Linked DNA regions of Drosophila melanogaster. The gene in region 1 interacts genetically with each later gene. Each region holds a gene or a part of one and is shown on either strand. Other genes may lie near its edges.

Region 1 (7,049 bases):
TCCGGCAGTGAGCCTGTTTCAGGAAAGCTACTACGAGCTAATGAAACACGCGCTGAAGGATGACGGAATCGTGTGCTCCCAGGGCGGTAGCTTCTGGCTGGACCTGGACTACATCAAGAAGACCATGTCCGGCTGCAAGGAGCACTTTGCTAAGGTGGCCTATGCCGTCACCTCCGTTCCGTCCTATCCCTGCGGCCACATTGGCTTCGTCATGGGCTCCCTGAACAAAAACCAGGACTTCGCTACTCCCAAGCTTGGAAAGTCCGAAATCGATTCTATAGACCTAAGGTACTACTCCTCCGAGGTTCACTCCGCCGCCTTTGCCTTGCCTCGATGGGTGCAGAAGCACTTTTACGAATGACCAGGTTGCGGAAAGATTCGTGTGTATCTGTTTGTTAAAAATAAATATGATAATAATATGACTTGTTTATCATCGCTTCTTAAATTCTTGGATATTTTCAACAAATGCTGACTCTTGCAATGATTCATTTTTAGTCGAATTTTTGTAGCCTGAGTATTTTCCTTCCAATCCGACTACCATCTTTCAGTTATTTTACTGTTGAAAATAGAACAAATTGTAATGTTTATTACGTAATGATATATACAGTTGGCTCTATTTAATTTTTGTATTTGTAAGTGGATGCTGGGTTAACATAATGAGACTTATTGCAATATTTTACACGACCGAATGTTACTCTCATTTATATATCGCATATATTGCAAAACTTTGAAAGGAAGCGTTTCTTATATGCAAAAATGACCTTAACTGCATGTGAATAATTAACTAAAAACTGATATTCAATTTCAATAACTTAATAGAAATTAAATCTTCAACCTGTTTAATGACTAATTAAATATTGTTATAGTTAGGAAACGCAATTGATACATAATTACAAAATTAGATGTAAAATATGTACAATCATTTAATATTGGTTTTTATTTTCTCGCCTATTCTAAAGTTAATTATCATTTCTTTTGTGTCGGATAGATTTTGGTGTCTAATGTGCGTGTTTTTATGTGTAATAAATATAATGTATGTGCATTGCGATTTTGGTAGCCGAGCTCCAGTTTTCGAAAAAGTCGAATCATTTTGTGTCCAATTGAGAACTATTTCACATTTTTCGAAATAGATGGATAAACTAATTATTGTGTGTGTACGAATACTCCACTCCTTTGACTGGGTAAATTTGAATAAACCTATAAAAATTCCTAATTCAAGTATAATAATTTTGTCTAAATAAATCAATTTGTAAATGTGTATTCCAAAAAAAGAATCACGAGCAGTTGGAAAAAAATTAATAATAATGGTTTTGAAAACCGGAGCTTGACTGTGTATAATTTGTTATGCGATTGATTTTGTATAGGGAATTTCATGTCTTCGCGATTACATTTGTTATAGCGTGTTTTATATTATCAATATAATAAAATAGGGTAGGGGTTTTTTCTTCATGAATGGCCAACACATAACACATCTATGAATATCGTTCATGTTTGCTTTGCTTTACGTTAAAGGGAGGTACTAATTTGTTAACAATTTCTATATAAGTCAAACCCGAACCGAGTCCGCTGCCTGAAACTTAATGTTTTTCTGTTTAGAGTGCCAGATTATTTCGACGACCATTGACCTTATTGACTAAATTGCAGATTTTTAAGGCTGGTCCTAGCTTCAGGCCCATGTACTTCATCATCATCTCTGAATTTAGCAATAATAAAGCTTTACCATCGATTTCCTACAGACGAAAATTAGATAAGTTACTTTATTTAAGGTAATTGGTAATAGCTACTACTTACGTGCTTTCGGAAGAGATCACCATGAACTGCAAGGGAGTTGTCGTTGCTCTCGATGTACTGGATCACCTCTTCGATGGTCCAGTCGATCGGCTGCGACCGCAGATGTGAGTTTGCCAAAGCAGAAGTGGGCGTGCTCACGGGTGAGGTAATCGCGGTGTAGCTCGGAGAAGCTCCCGCAGTTGCCGCTGCTCCAGCCGGCGCGGTGGCCGCCTTAGCCGCTGTAACTCCACCTGCAGCCAGTGCAGTGGACGAGGCTGACTGGCAGCCCGTGAACGGCGTGGACACGGATGTCGGCAACGAGGCGCTTGACGAGAGCGTCGTCGGACTCTTGTAGTAGCTATTCGAGGGCTTTACATTGGCCTGCTCTGGATGAACTTCTGCCACAAGAGGTGCCAGGTATTTGCCAATTGTGCTGGTGTTCGCCGATCCTCCGGCTAGGCTCGTGCTGGACGACGTTGACGAGCTGCTGCAATGGCTGGTAGATACGTGCGTGGTCTGGCTCGTATCCTGGTTTCCGTTTGTCGCAGAGCTATTCGTATTCGTGTTTGCGTGGTGTTGGAAGCGTACTTTGCGCAGAGCCTGCGTTGTGGAGGAAGTCTGCGCGTTCGCTCCGTTGGGCTCCGATTTGATGACCACCTTGTTGCTGGACTTGCTGGCACTGTTGTTGTTATTGTTGAGACTGTGATTGCTGTTTTGCTGGCTTGCAGGCTCCTTGCCATTGTTCGTCGAAGTTTTCGACTTGGACTCCACTGGCGATTTGACAGCCAATTCCTGCTTGATAATCTTCTCAGAGGGTGATGTCGTTGCCGAGTTGGATTGACGGTTTCGCTTGTCGGCGAGCACTGGCGAGGAAGGCGGTGTGGCTGACTGAGTCAGTTGACGCTTCCGACTATTGGCGCACTTCTTGCACTCCTCCGTCTCGTGGACCAAGGAAATGAGATTCGCACATGCCCGGCATGTAGTGCACAGCGTTTCGATGAATTGGGCGAGGCTTTCGTCATCCTTCATTCGCATTGGCGATGGTATTTTTACCTTTAAGAAACGAAGAGTATATTTTAAACATGCTTTTCATTGAATTTAATTGATCTTGAACTCACTGTGAAATTTTTCCCCGCTGCCGTCACGATATGAACATCTCCTTCCAGGGCAAACAGCAACTTTGAGAGCTGTTGCGTATCCGTGCTGGCAGCTAAAACCTCCTGCAGGCAAAGCTTGGCCAGCGTTTGGTAGGTGGGTCCCGTCACCATGCAGGGCAGTTTGGAATTGTTGATGAACGGACCGCCCTTGCAGTTCGGATGGAAGTGGGCTGTGGCAGGGGAAGCGGGAACCATAGCCTCGGACTCAGCTACAACAGTGTAGCGGGGTCGAGGGCATCGCTGTTTGCTAGAGCTGGAGTCCATGCGCGATTTATGGCCCGGTGGCTGCATGGGATGACAACTTCTAGCGCACCAGCCGGCGGGAAAAATGTCACGCGATCGGTAATTGCACCAGTAGTCGAATGCCCCTCGCCAACCATCGAATGTTACATGGATCTGATCATCCTTGATTGCATCTACTGTTGCACAGCAGATGAGCTGCGGGTTCTTCTTGTCGACAGCCTCGAGTTTCTGGCCCACCTTGAACAGGTTTTCTTCTGGCTCTGGCGGCTCTGGCTGGAAGATCTCTTCTGGCGCCACCATGGCATTGTTGAGGATCTTGCACAGATAGCCGGGCCAGCTGGATGCGTTCATGCGGAATCCCAGAGGCGGCTGCAGCATGCCACCGTTCTTTTCACAGTGTCCAATAGCATGGATCTCCGTAGAATCGACCAGCCGCCAAAAGTCATTCTGGGAGTCACTTCCATCCAGGCGTAGCCGCAGTCTGGAGCCAAGCACTCCGACCACGGTGGCAATGCAGGTGGAAGTGACGTTGCGCGGATCCAAAGCCTCCAGCTTCATTCCGATTTTAAAATCATTGTTGGGAGGATTCTGAGCCTGTTTGAAACATTTTGCAGGAGCAGCTTCGCTACCCGTTTCCTGGAAACCACAAAAAGTATGAGATTGGGGGTTAAAGCATTATCCCAGCTTGACTTACCTCTAGATAGGCATCCCAGTCGAAGACGTGGAAGCTCTCGTATTGAAAGGGCCCCGTTGGTGCGGGCGCTCCACTGGCCAGCAACTTGCGCTCGCTTTCCGCCAGACCCTTGCCCGATGCCGATCCGCCGCTGTGCCTGGTCGAGCAGTTCTTCTTCTGGTGCTTGTTCATGCACATGATCGAGCAGAACTCCTTGTTGGGCGCCCCATCGCGGATGACGTTGTCGCACTGGGTGCACGCCCCCTTGCTGTACGCCTTGCGGAACTCGGCAATGCATGTTTCCGAGCAGAACTCCTTCTTGCCGGTCTGCGTGGGCAGGACGTACTGCAGCGGTAGCTTGCCCTCGCCGCACCAGGTGCATGTGGCTCGTTTGGCCGGTCTACCTCGTTGCCGTTGCGTGGACGCGGGCGATGTTGTACTTCCAGGGGATGCGGATGTGGATGTGGAGGAGGCGGATGCGGATGCGGAGGAGGTGGCATTCGTACTGGCCCCTGGCGCAGCAGAATTGCTCCCGCTACTGGTACTGCTATCACGTCCGCCCGACATGGTTTCTCGCGTGGCTGTCCTAGTAGTCGCACTTGCTGATTCGCGCCGGCAAGCCCCTTGGCATCTCAGGCGATTTCGATTTCGTGTGTTCCGATCCGGCGGTCAAATCGCATTGCGGCTGCCTTGAATCATTAGCCACCAATAGCAAGTTTTGTTTTGCAGCACTAACTTTCCGATTTCTTTCGATTTGGCCTGGCGAAATTTTGCGGCGTTCTTGAGGTCACGTAATAACAAATTGGTGGCCAAATCGCATCGCATCACCCAACGAAAACAAACGCGAGCCGCACAATTAGTTTCTGGTTCACCAAATATCGAGCTTTATATTTAGAGCGCTGCGCGGATCTTGTTACTCGGTTTCAATCCGAAATTAGATGATTTTGAGTCGCTTAAACTCCAAAATGTTAGACTTTTTTTACTTTTACGCTCGGTTCCGCCATATTTGTTTTTCTAGTGGTGACATTCAGATCTTTGCGCATATCGATAGTTGCTTACCTGTGACAGCTCACGAAGCGATGAAAATAATCAACTAATGTGACTAATCGAAAAATGTTATCGAAGCAACTAAATGCAATTTTAAAATAACGTTAAATGGGAAATCACATAACTGACAATAAATAGTCAATTTAAAGAGCAAAGTAGATAATGCTCAATACTTTTACCACAATGTTGTATTTAATTTAACTGCTAATATAAATAAATATTTGTCATTTTTAAAAACGTAAGCCCTTATTATAGAAAAGAAATTTGGATTTCCTGTCAAAAATTGTACAGCGTAATGTAAAAACTATTTAGTCTAGTAAACTGAACCGTTTTGGTTTTGAGAATATAAACTTATAACCGAATTCCTACGTTTTAATATCAGCTCATAGTATTTCCCAGTAAAACTAACAAAACGCTCGTGAATCAAATTTGCACAGCATCAAGTGGGCGTAAATTGGTGAATAATATAAAAAGTCTGTAAATTTGAAAGCGCACGGCACACATCAGCCGAAAATCAAAAAAAAAAAAATGGGTTAGTCAACAAAACTAATATCTACCAATTTATAGAACGCTCTGGTATGTAAACATTTCCATTGAACTGGGAGAAATTCGCAATAAAGCGGTTCAGATAGTGGAAAATGGGTTGAACAAGGGAAAGTTTTGATATTTTAATAAAATCATGTATAACATAGGAAAGCGGTTTTCGTAATTACCAAAACCATGAAACAATCAATACTGAAATACAAAAATATGTTACTATCAAAATAATGGCTTATACGATTGGCCTAAGGCTTTATTAGGTCAAGCAAATTAATATTACTTGCTTACCTTTCGTTAATTTTATTTGCTGAAGAGCGTCGCAAATGTCAAGAAGTCTAGCAAATTACTAGAAATTACATAAGTGTGTTTCGTTTGCAGTAAATTCAGTAAGTCGAAAGCGGCTCAAAGATGAAACAAGTTGGAAAAACTTTTCTGGGATTAGCCGAAATGTATATTGGTCAAACTTTTTGGCTAACTTCTGCTGCTGTTTGATTTTTGTTCGCTTTGCCTAAATGGTCCGTAACTTGATTTAATTGATGTGCTTCAAAGAATAATCCGCTCACTTAGTCGCGTTTCAAAGATAACCAACTGGAAGCCAAATATTGCGGTCGAAAAACTTGATAACACTGTTAATTGAATGTTTTGAAGGCGGCGTGATGTCCCTCTTTAATAATCAATAAAGACATTCCTAATTATTAATGATTAAACTTGACCGAAACCAAGTTCCCTGACACTCACACAATCGTCAAATCGCGCATAATTGGATGGGACCATCGGCTGCCCATAACAAGGATAATTGGATGAAATGAGGCGGCTGCCTTTTCTGCTCCTCATTAAATGCCCGTTTACCGTTTAGTCGCCTGTCAAATCCTTGATGGGCTATTAGAAAAAGGGGTGTCCAGAGACGAGTTCTTGAGTCATTGACTTGTTACGCAAATTGGACAAAAGAAATTTCTGGCTCCGAGTGGGCACTGGAGTGGGGATTGAACTTAATAAGCATATTCATTAATGGGTGTACAGAACCAAGTACAAGGTTGCATCTTACACCCTTATGGATATCCTTTCCTTCTTGAATCCCTAAGCAAAAGTAATCAGGCAAGTAGCTAGACTTTACTAGTTGCTCTATTAAAAATTAAAAGTAAATTAAAATTGCCTCGCACTACCAAAACAGCATTACAGCTCGCATAAAAGCACGTATAAATTGGCGGGAGTGGCATTTTGACGGAATTCAATCAGCCATAAAGCATCCTGCTGGGCAGGAAATGGAGGCGTTTGCCTACGTGCTTAATTACAAGCCGACGCATGCACATTCTGCATACATAAAAGGCGAAGACACGTGTTCCAAGCAATTAAAAAGTATGTCAAAGTGGGTGATCAACGCGCCCAAGGACGCAGGACAATTGCGAATGCTGGCAACACTGTTGCTTTTTTTGAGTGATGCGTGGGCTAGCCAAACTAGTTGATGTAGATGGCATGAAAAGTTTGGGGGGTCCCAAATTATAAATTGCTTATCTGGCTGTGTGTACAATGTGGATAGCAATGTGATATAAATGGTAATTGAATTCGTTTTCAAGGTAATCAGCAGTAATGATTGCTGCTTTTCTTAGCCTAAATAGAAA
Region 2 (5,512 bases), on another chromosome or scaffold:
TGGTGTAGTCAGGATGCTCGTTTTTCTGGCAATGGAGTACCATTAGATCATACAAAGGTACTCAAAGGTACTAAAAAGCTCACCGTTATAAAGCCCACTCCGCAGCCGTAGACCGTTTCCTGAAAGGAAATCTCCTGGCGCGAAATGCTAAAGTAGTTGAGGAAGTTTCCAGAGGCAAAAACCAGCGTGTCTGAATCCACAAGGACCAAATTAAACAGCTTCTTACAATCGTAACCAAAGGAGTGTCTGCAGCAGAAGTTTTCCAATCAAGAAAAAGTTATCAACTTCCAATTCCGTACTCACTCTACACTGACGATATCACGCGGAAAGGATACGTCGTTCTCATTCTCCAACTCCTCCTCTTCGCCCAGCAGATCAGATTCCTGCGTAGTATCCATATTATTTAGCTATTATTGTACAAAACTTAACTTGCTGTGTATTTATTTATTTGATACAAGTGAAAAGGTTTACTTGAGTGTTTGTTTGCCTGTTGCCAGGTCACATGAAACCGGCTATCTGAAAAGAGTTCTGCAAACGTGGAGCATGCGCAGAAGTGCGTTCAACAAGTTTCATTCAATGCTATAACATTCTCAAATACAATTTATTACGATTAACTCAATAAACATTCTAGGATTAAATTCCATTACACAATCTAAATATCTAATTCCAAAAAAGCCTCATCATCATCATCGTTAAAGAACGCCGCGATATCCGACTCAGCCTTGTTTACTTTGGTCATTTCTGTATTATTATTTTGCTCAGGCGGCTCTTTAGCTGGAATAGTTGAAAAATATTGTTTTATGCTATTCCTTTCCGGTTCAAGGGAGGTGGACGTGGAGGGCGAGAAGTACTCCTCGATCTTGTGGGACTAAAAAAAAAGTTGAGTTAGCGAAAAATACATTTTTCAAAGTATTCAAAATGTATCTTACTGAAGTGGGTGCTGCTGTGTGTGTTGCTTTCTGAAGATTTTCGGCAAAGATGCCCACTTTACTAAGCACCTCTTGCTTATTTTTCAGCATGTTCCAGATTATATCGTCTGCCGTATTGTGAGCAATCAGATAGCGACAAATCACCGGTTTTGTCTGACCAATGCGATGGGCACGGCTCTCCGCCTGGGCAAGAGTCTGCACATAAAATAAAACTAAATTTAAGCGTTCTCCAAGTTAACATATAAGCGAAGCTTACGCTAGGATTCCAGTCCAGTTCAGCGAACACTATGATCTCAGCTGCAGTTAGCGTTATTCCTGAATTGCAGGCTTTTAGGGAGAGCAGGGCCACCTTACAACTGCTCTTCTTTTGGAACGTGTCCACAGAATCCGACCTGTGATCGCTACGCGTTTGTCCATCAATACGTATGTAGTGTACTTTCAATCCACTGAGGAAGTCGCTAATGGCGTCCATCATGACACGATGGTGGGCAAAGATAATGAACTTTTTCTGCTCCTTAACTAAGGTTTTTAGGTAGGCGCTATAATGCAGGATAATACATTAACTTCAGATGGTTTATATGGTTTTAATGATTTTTTTTATTACCAGACCGCTCGAGTTTTCACTTCGGCAGTGCGTGCATAGAAACGGAGTAAGATCTCTTCCGTTGCCCTGCCTTTAGCGGTTTTAAGCTCTTTGTTAAACGCATCCAAGGTTTCCTTGGTCTCCGCATTGGTCCACACTAGGGCGGGATCCAGGACGACAGTCTCACTGCGGATGGAAGAATGTTCGAAATGTTAGAAAATATATTATAGATATACAACAATGTGAACAACCCACCGGTTCTTCTCAGCGAGTTGAGGCAGCACCTCCACTTTCGTTCGCCTCAGCATATATTTAAGGTGAAGTATGACCTTCAGTTCCTCCAAATTCGATTGACCATTGGCATCCCAACCAAAAGTTGACTGCTTTCCATCACAATAACGAGTAGCTGTGAATGTGTTAATCGATATAAGCGCGTTCTAAGGTAAACAGACATTCTTGACATACTGAACTCCATGAAATTCATGAATTTGCCATCAATCATTTGCAGTTGCGTAAAAAGTTCCAATGGCCGGGAGAGAGCCGGTGTGCCGGATAGCAAAACCACCCGCTTCGCCTGATCCGTGAGTCTTTTGGCCGTTGTCGTGCACTTGGCCTTGCTGTTCTTCAGCGTGTGCGACTCGTCGAAGATGATGAAACCAAACTTCCGCTGCATCAGCTTATCTTCGTGTCGCTCCATCATATTGTAGCTGGTGATTAGCACCTTGGCCTCACCCACATATAGCTGATTGTTGTTCAGCACCTGGACATAGTGGATGGGCACCTTCGGCAGTAGATCCATTATGTGTTTCGCCCAACTGTCTCTCGTAGAAGCGGTGGTGCAGACAAGCAAGGGCCAATCATCCTTGAAATAGTCGGCTACGGCCAAGGCCTGATAGGTTTTGCCCAGGCCCATTTCATCACAGATCATAATGCGTCCCTTTTGGGCTATGGCAAAGCTAAACATATGATAAATTTAGCGCTTTTGGAAGTACATAGCATACAAGCAATGCTTACCATACCCCATCCTGTTGGAAGGGCATTAGCTGGTCCGCCAGCTTCGGTTCTATGGAAGCTAAAACACTTCTTTCCGGAACTACTGGCGGCTGGCCGCAGAGATCCAGCACCTTCTTCGGAATGCCATTCATGTGAACATATGGCTTTAGATCCGCTGCATGAGTTTTCAGGGATTGGTAGTCCGACAGATCGAAACTCCAGATACGGGTTTGGCCATCGTAGCACTTGGTGGGCATGTTCTTGAACACGGTCACGAGCTGTTCGTGATATCCTGAGGTTTGGGCAGCAAACCGATGTGTGCTGATCAAGTAGAGATTACACGTGATGGAGTTTCCGAGTAGCACAGCCACCGGTTTCTCCTTATCCGAACTCAGTGAAAGAGTGGGCTTGTTTCTTTCGTTCCCTCCATTTGGCCGCTGGTAAGGATGTGCTGCTCCGCGGGACAATTCCCGGTTGGATGTCTGTTTGATTGCTTTCAGAGCGTTCAGAAAGGATGAGCTCTTGTTGTCACCGGGCGTGGGACCGCTCCTGTTGATCTTCTTCTGCTCCCCCGTCGGTGATCGGTAGAAATTCAATGGGGATTTGGCCTGCGGTTGATTGGGATTTGATTTTCCATTATTCGCATGTTGCGTCGCACCTGTTGCAGACGTTGTTGATTTTCCATTGGTTGCGGGTGCGCTGGCCAGCAGCTGGGATTTCTTGGCCTGCAATTTGGCCAGCGCAATGCGCTTCTTCTCCGCTATCTCGGATGAACTGCAAGTGGACATGCTGCGACATCAATTGATAAAATTTGGCGGAATATATAAACAATAAATGCATGGCTCTGTGTGACCAGGTGAGCCATTTTTCAATCCTTACATCTTACATTGGGCGCCTATTTTAAATTATTTTTACATTTTACATACTCTATGTATACATTATTATGTATATATTATGTATAAATTATTTAGTCCTTAAATTAAATTAAAATCATTTCTGTTTTCTTATATTGCCTACGTCGGTTGTAAGCGAAGATAATCAGCTTAGAATTTTTCCTAAAAGCGAGTTATTATTTTTTTTGCCTATCAAGATGTTCTTAGACGTGCTATCAATTAATTTCCATTGGTATCAGAGGGCGAATTTCTTAGAGATAGGATAACGCCGAGTGGGGGCTACTCCAGACAGCGATAAGGGGCGCAATAAAAACGGATGGAAGTCTGGCGCAGACCACGATTGATCCAATCACCATGAAAGTGTTCGTTGTACTGGCTCTGGCTTTGGCCGCTGTCTCCGCCGAGACTGTCCAGCAGGTTCATCCCAAGGACCTGCCCAAGGACACCAAGATCAATGGCCGCATTGTGAACGGATATCCAGCCTACGAGGGCAAGGCTCCCTACACCGTGGGTCTGGGCTTCAGCGGCAACGGCGGCTGGTGGTGCGGTGGTTCTATCATCGCCCACGATTGGGTCCTGACTGCTGCTCACTGCACCAACGGCGCCTCCCAGGTGACCATCTACTACGGAGCCACCTGGCGCACCAACGCCCAGTTCACCCACACCGTCGGCAGCGGCGACTTCATCCAGAACCACAACTGGCCCAACCAGAACGGCAACGACATCGCCTTGATCCGCACCCCCCACGTGGACTTCTGGCACATGGTTAACAAGGTGGAGCTGCCCAGCTTCAACGATCGCTACAACATGTACGACAACTATTGGGCCGTCGCCTGCGGTTGGGGACTGACCACCGCCGGATCCCAGCCCGATTGGATGGAGTGCGTCGACCTGCAGATCATTAGCAACTCGGAATGCTCCCGCACCTACGGCACCCAGCCCGATGGCATCCTCTGTGTGTCCACCTCCGGCGGAAAGTCCACCTGCTCCGGTGACTCCGGTGGCCCCCTGGTTCTCCACGACGGTGGCCGCCTGGTGGGTGTCACCTCCTGGGTTTCCGGCAACGGTTGCACCGCTGGCCTGCCCTCCGGATTCACCCGTGTTACCAACCAGCTGGACTGGATCCGCGACAACTCCGGCGTTGCTTACTACTAAGCTTGATTATCTTTATTTTTAAATAAACGAAATGCATAACAATTAATTTGACGCCTTTATGTTTCTGGTTTTATTACATTTAAAAAATCACATGGATATTTTTAAGTTTCAAAAGTCTAGTCATGCAGAATCCGAATCTATAATAAACGTCTTATAGATAAGAAGCCATGAATGGCTAAGAAATGGGATGGTTTCTTGGCAATCGAACACTTGTTATCTGGAAAACATGATTAAACACTATATATGTAGCCATGATAGACATAAGTAGGAATACTAGCAACTGTGGTCTATACTAGTCAATAATCAGATAATGAAATAATATATATATTTACCAAAAGATTATATATTCCAAAGGATTATTATACTGACAAATCACAAAAGCGAAGTGATATATTTATTAAATATATGAAATATATTTCTAAAAAATAATACAACTTTCGTCTTTAAAATATTTCACTTTTTACTTGTAAATGTTTAGTTTATTGTTTTAAATTTTAATTTTAATAACTTTAATGGGAGTGCGTTTAATATTAAAACCTAAACAATGTAGCGCACTTACGAACGTTAAGTACAGTATAATTCGCTTAGCTGCCTCGAGTACTTTGCACAATGCCTCGATGCAGGTAACTTAAAAATGCAGCTAACTTAATTTTTTTTTTTCTATTTTCTATTTTCTATTCACACAAAAAAATGGAAAAATAATGCAGATATCTTGCCGATGCAGCTAACTATCGATGCAGCTAAGCGAATTATACTGTAATACTACTTTTGAATGACCACAGGACGTGTGCCCTAATCTCTGTGCGCTCCTGTTCGAGTGTTCCATTGAGTTGTGGCTCTGGGCATGAATGGGGGCTTATTGGCACCTATCTTAAGATCAGCTCCGAGTGGCCGCACGTCCATGTTGATAGGGTCGGACAATCTTCTAATGAATGAGTGGCAGTGGGCAATCGTCAGAT

The links.
Region 2: of Scm (region 1) and Marcal1, changing one suppresses a phenotype caused by changing the other (phenotypic suppression), as found in Drosophila melanogaster (one study listed by BioGRID).

The regions. Positions count from the first base shown.
Region 1 is NT_033777.3:9,632,746-9,639,794, forward strand, and holds Scm (Sex comb on midleg), read right to left. Parts: upstream 4,867-7,049; 5' UTR 4,411-4,866; coding exon 3,865-4,410; intron 3,807-3,864; coding exon 2,889-3,806; intron 2,824-2,888; coding exon 1,792-2,823; intron 1,731-1,791; coding exon 1,593-1,730; 3' UTR 614-1,592; downstream 1-613. Other genes in the region: SpdS (spermidine synthase), read left to right, coding at 1-361. UniProt on the Drosophila melanogaster protein: Polycomb group (PcG) protein. PcG proteins act by forming multiprotein complexes, which are required to maintain the transcriptionally repressive state of homeotic genes throughout development.
Region 2 is NT_033779.5:4,953,364-4,958,875, reverse strand, and holds Marcal1 (Marcal1), read right to left. Parts: upstream 3,368-5,512; 5' UTR 3,294-3,367; coding exon 2,527-3,293; intron 2,469-2,526; coding exon 1,978-2,468; intron 1,919-1,977; coding exon 1,768-1,918; intron 1,699-1,767; coding exon 1,534-1,698; intron 1,469-1,533; coding exon 1,186-1,468; intron 1,125-1,185; coding exon 930-1,124; intron 869-929; coding exon 653-868; 3' UTR 584-652; downstream 1-583. Other genes in the region: CG34124 (uncharacterized protein), read right to left, coding at 1-25, 84-246, 304-398; Jon25Bi (jonah 25Bi), read left to right, coding at 3,753-4,553. UniProt on the Drosophila melanogaster protein: ATP-dependent annealing helicase that catalyzes the rewinding of the stably unwound DNA.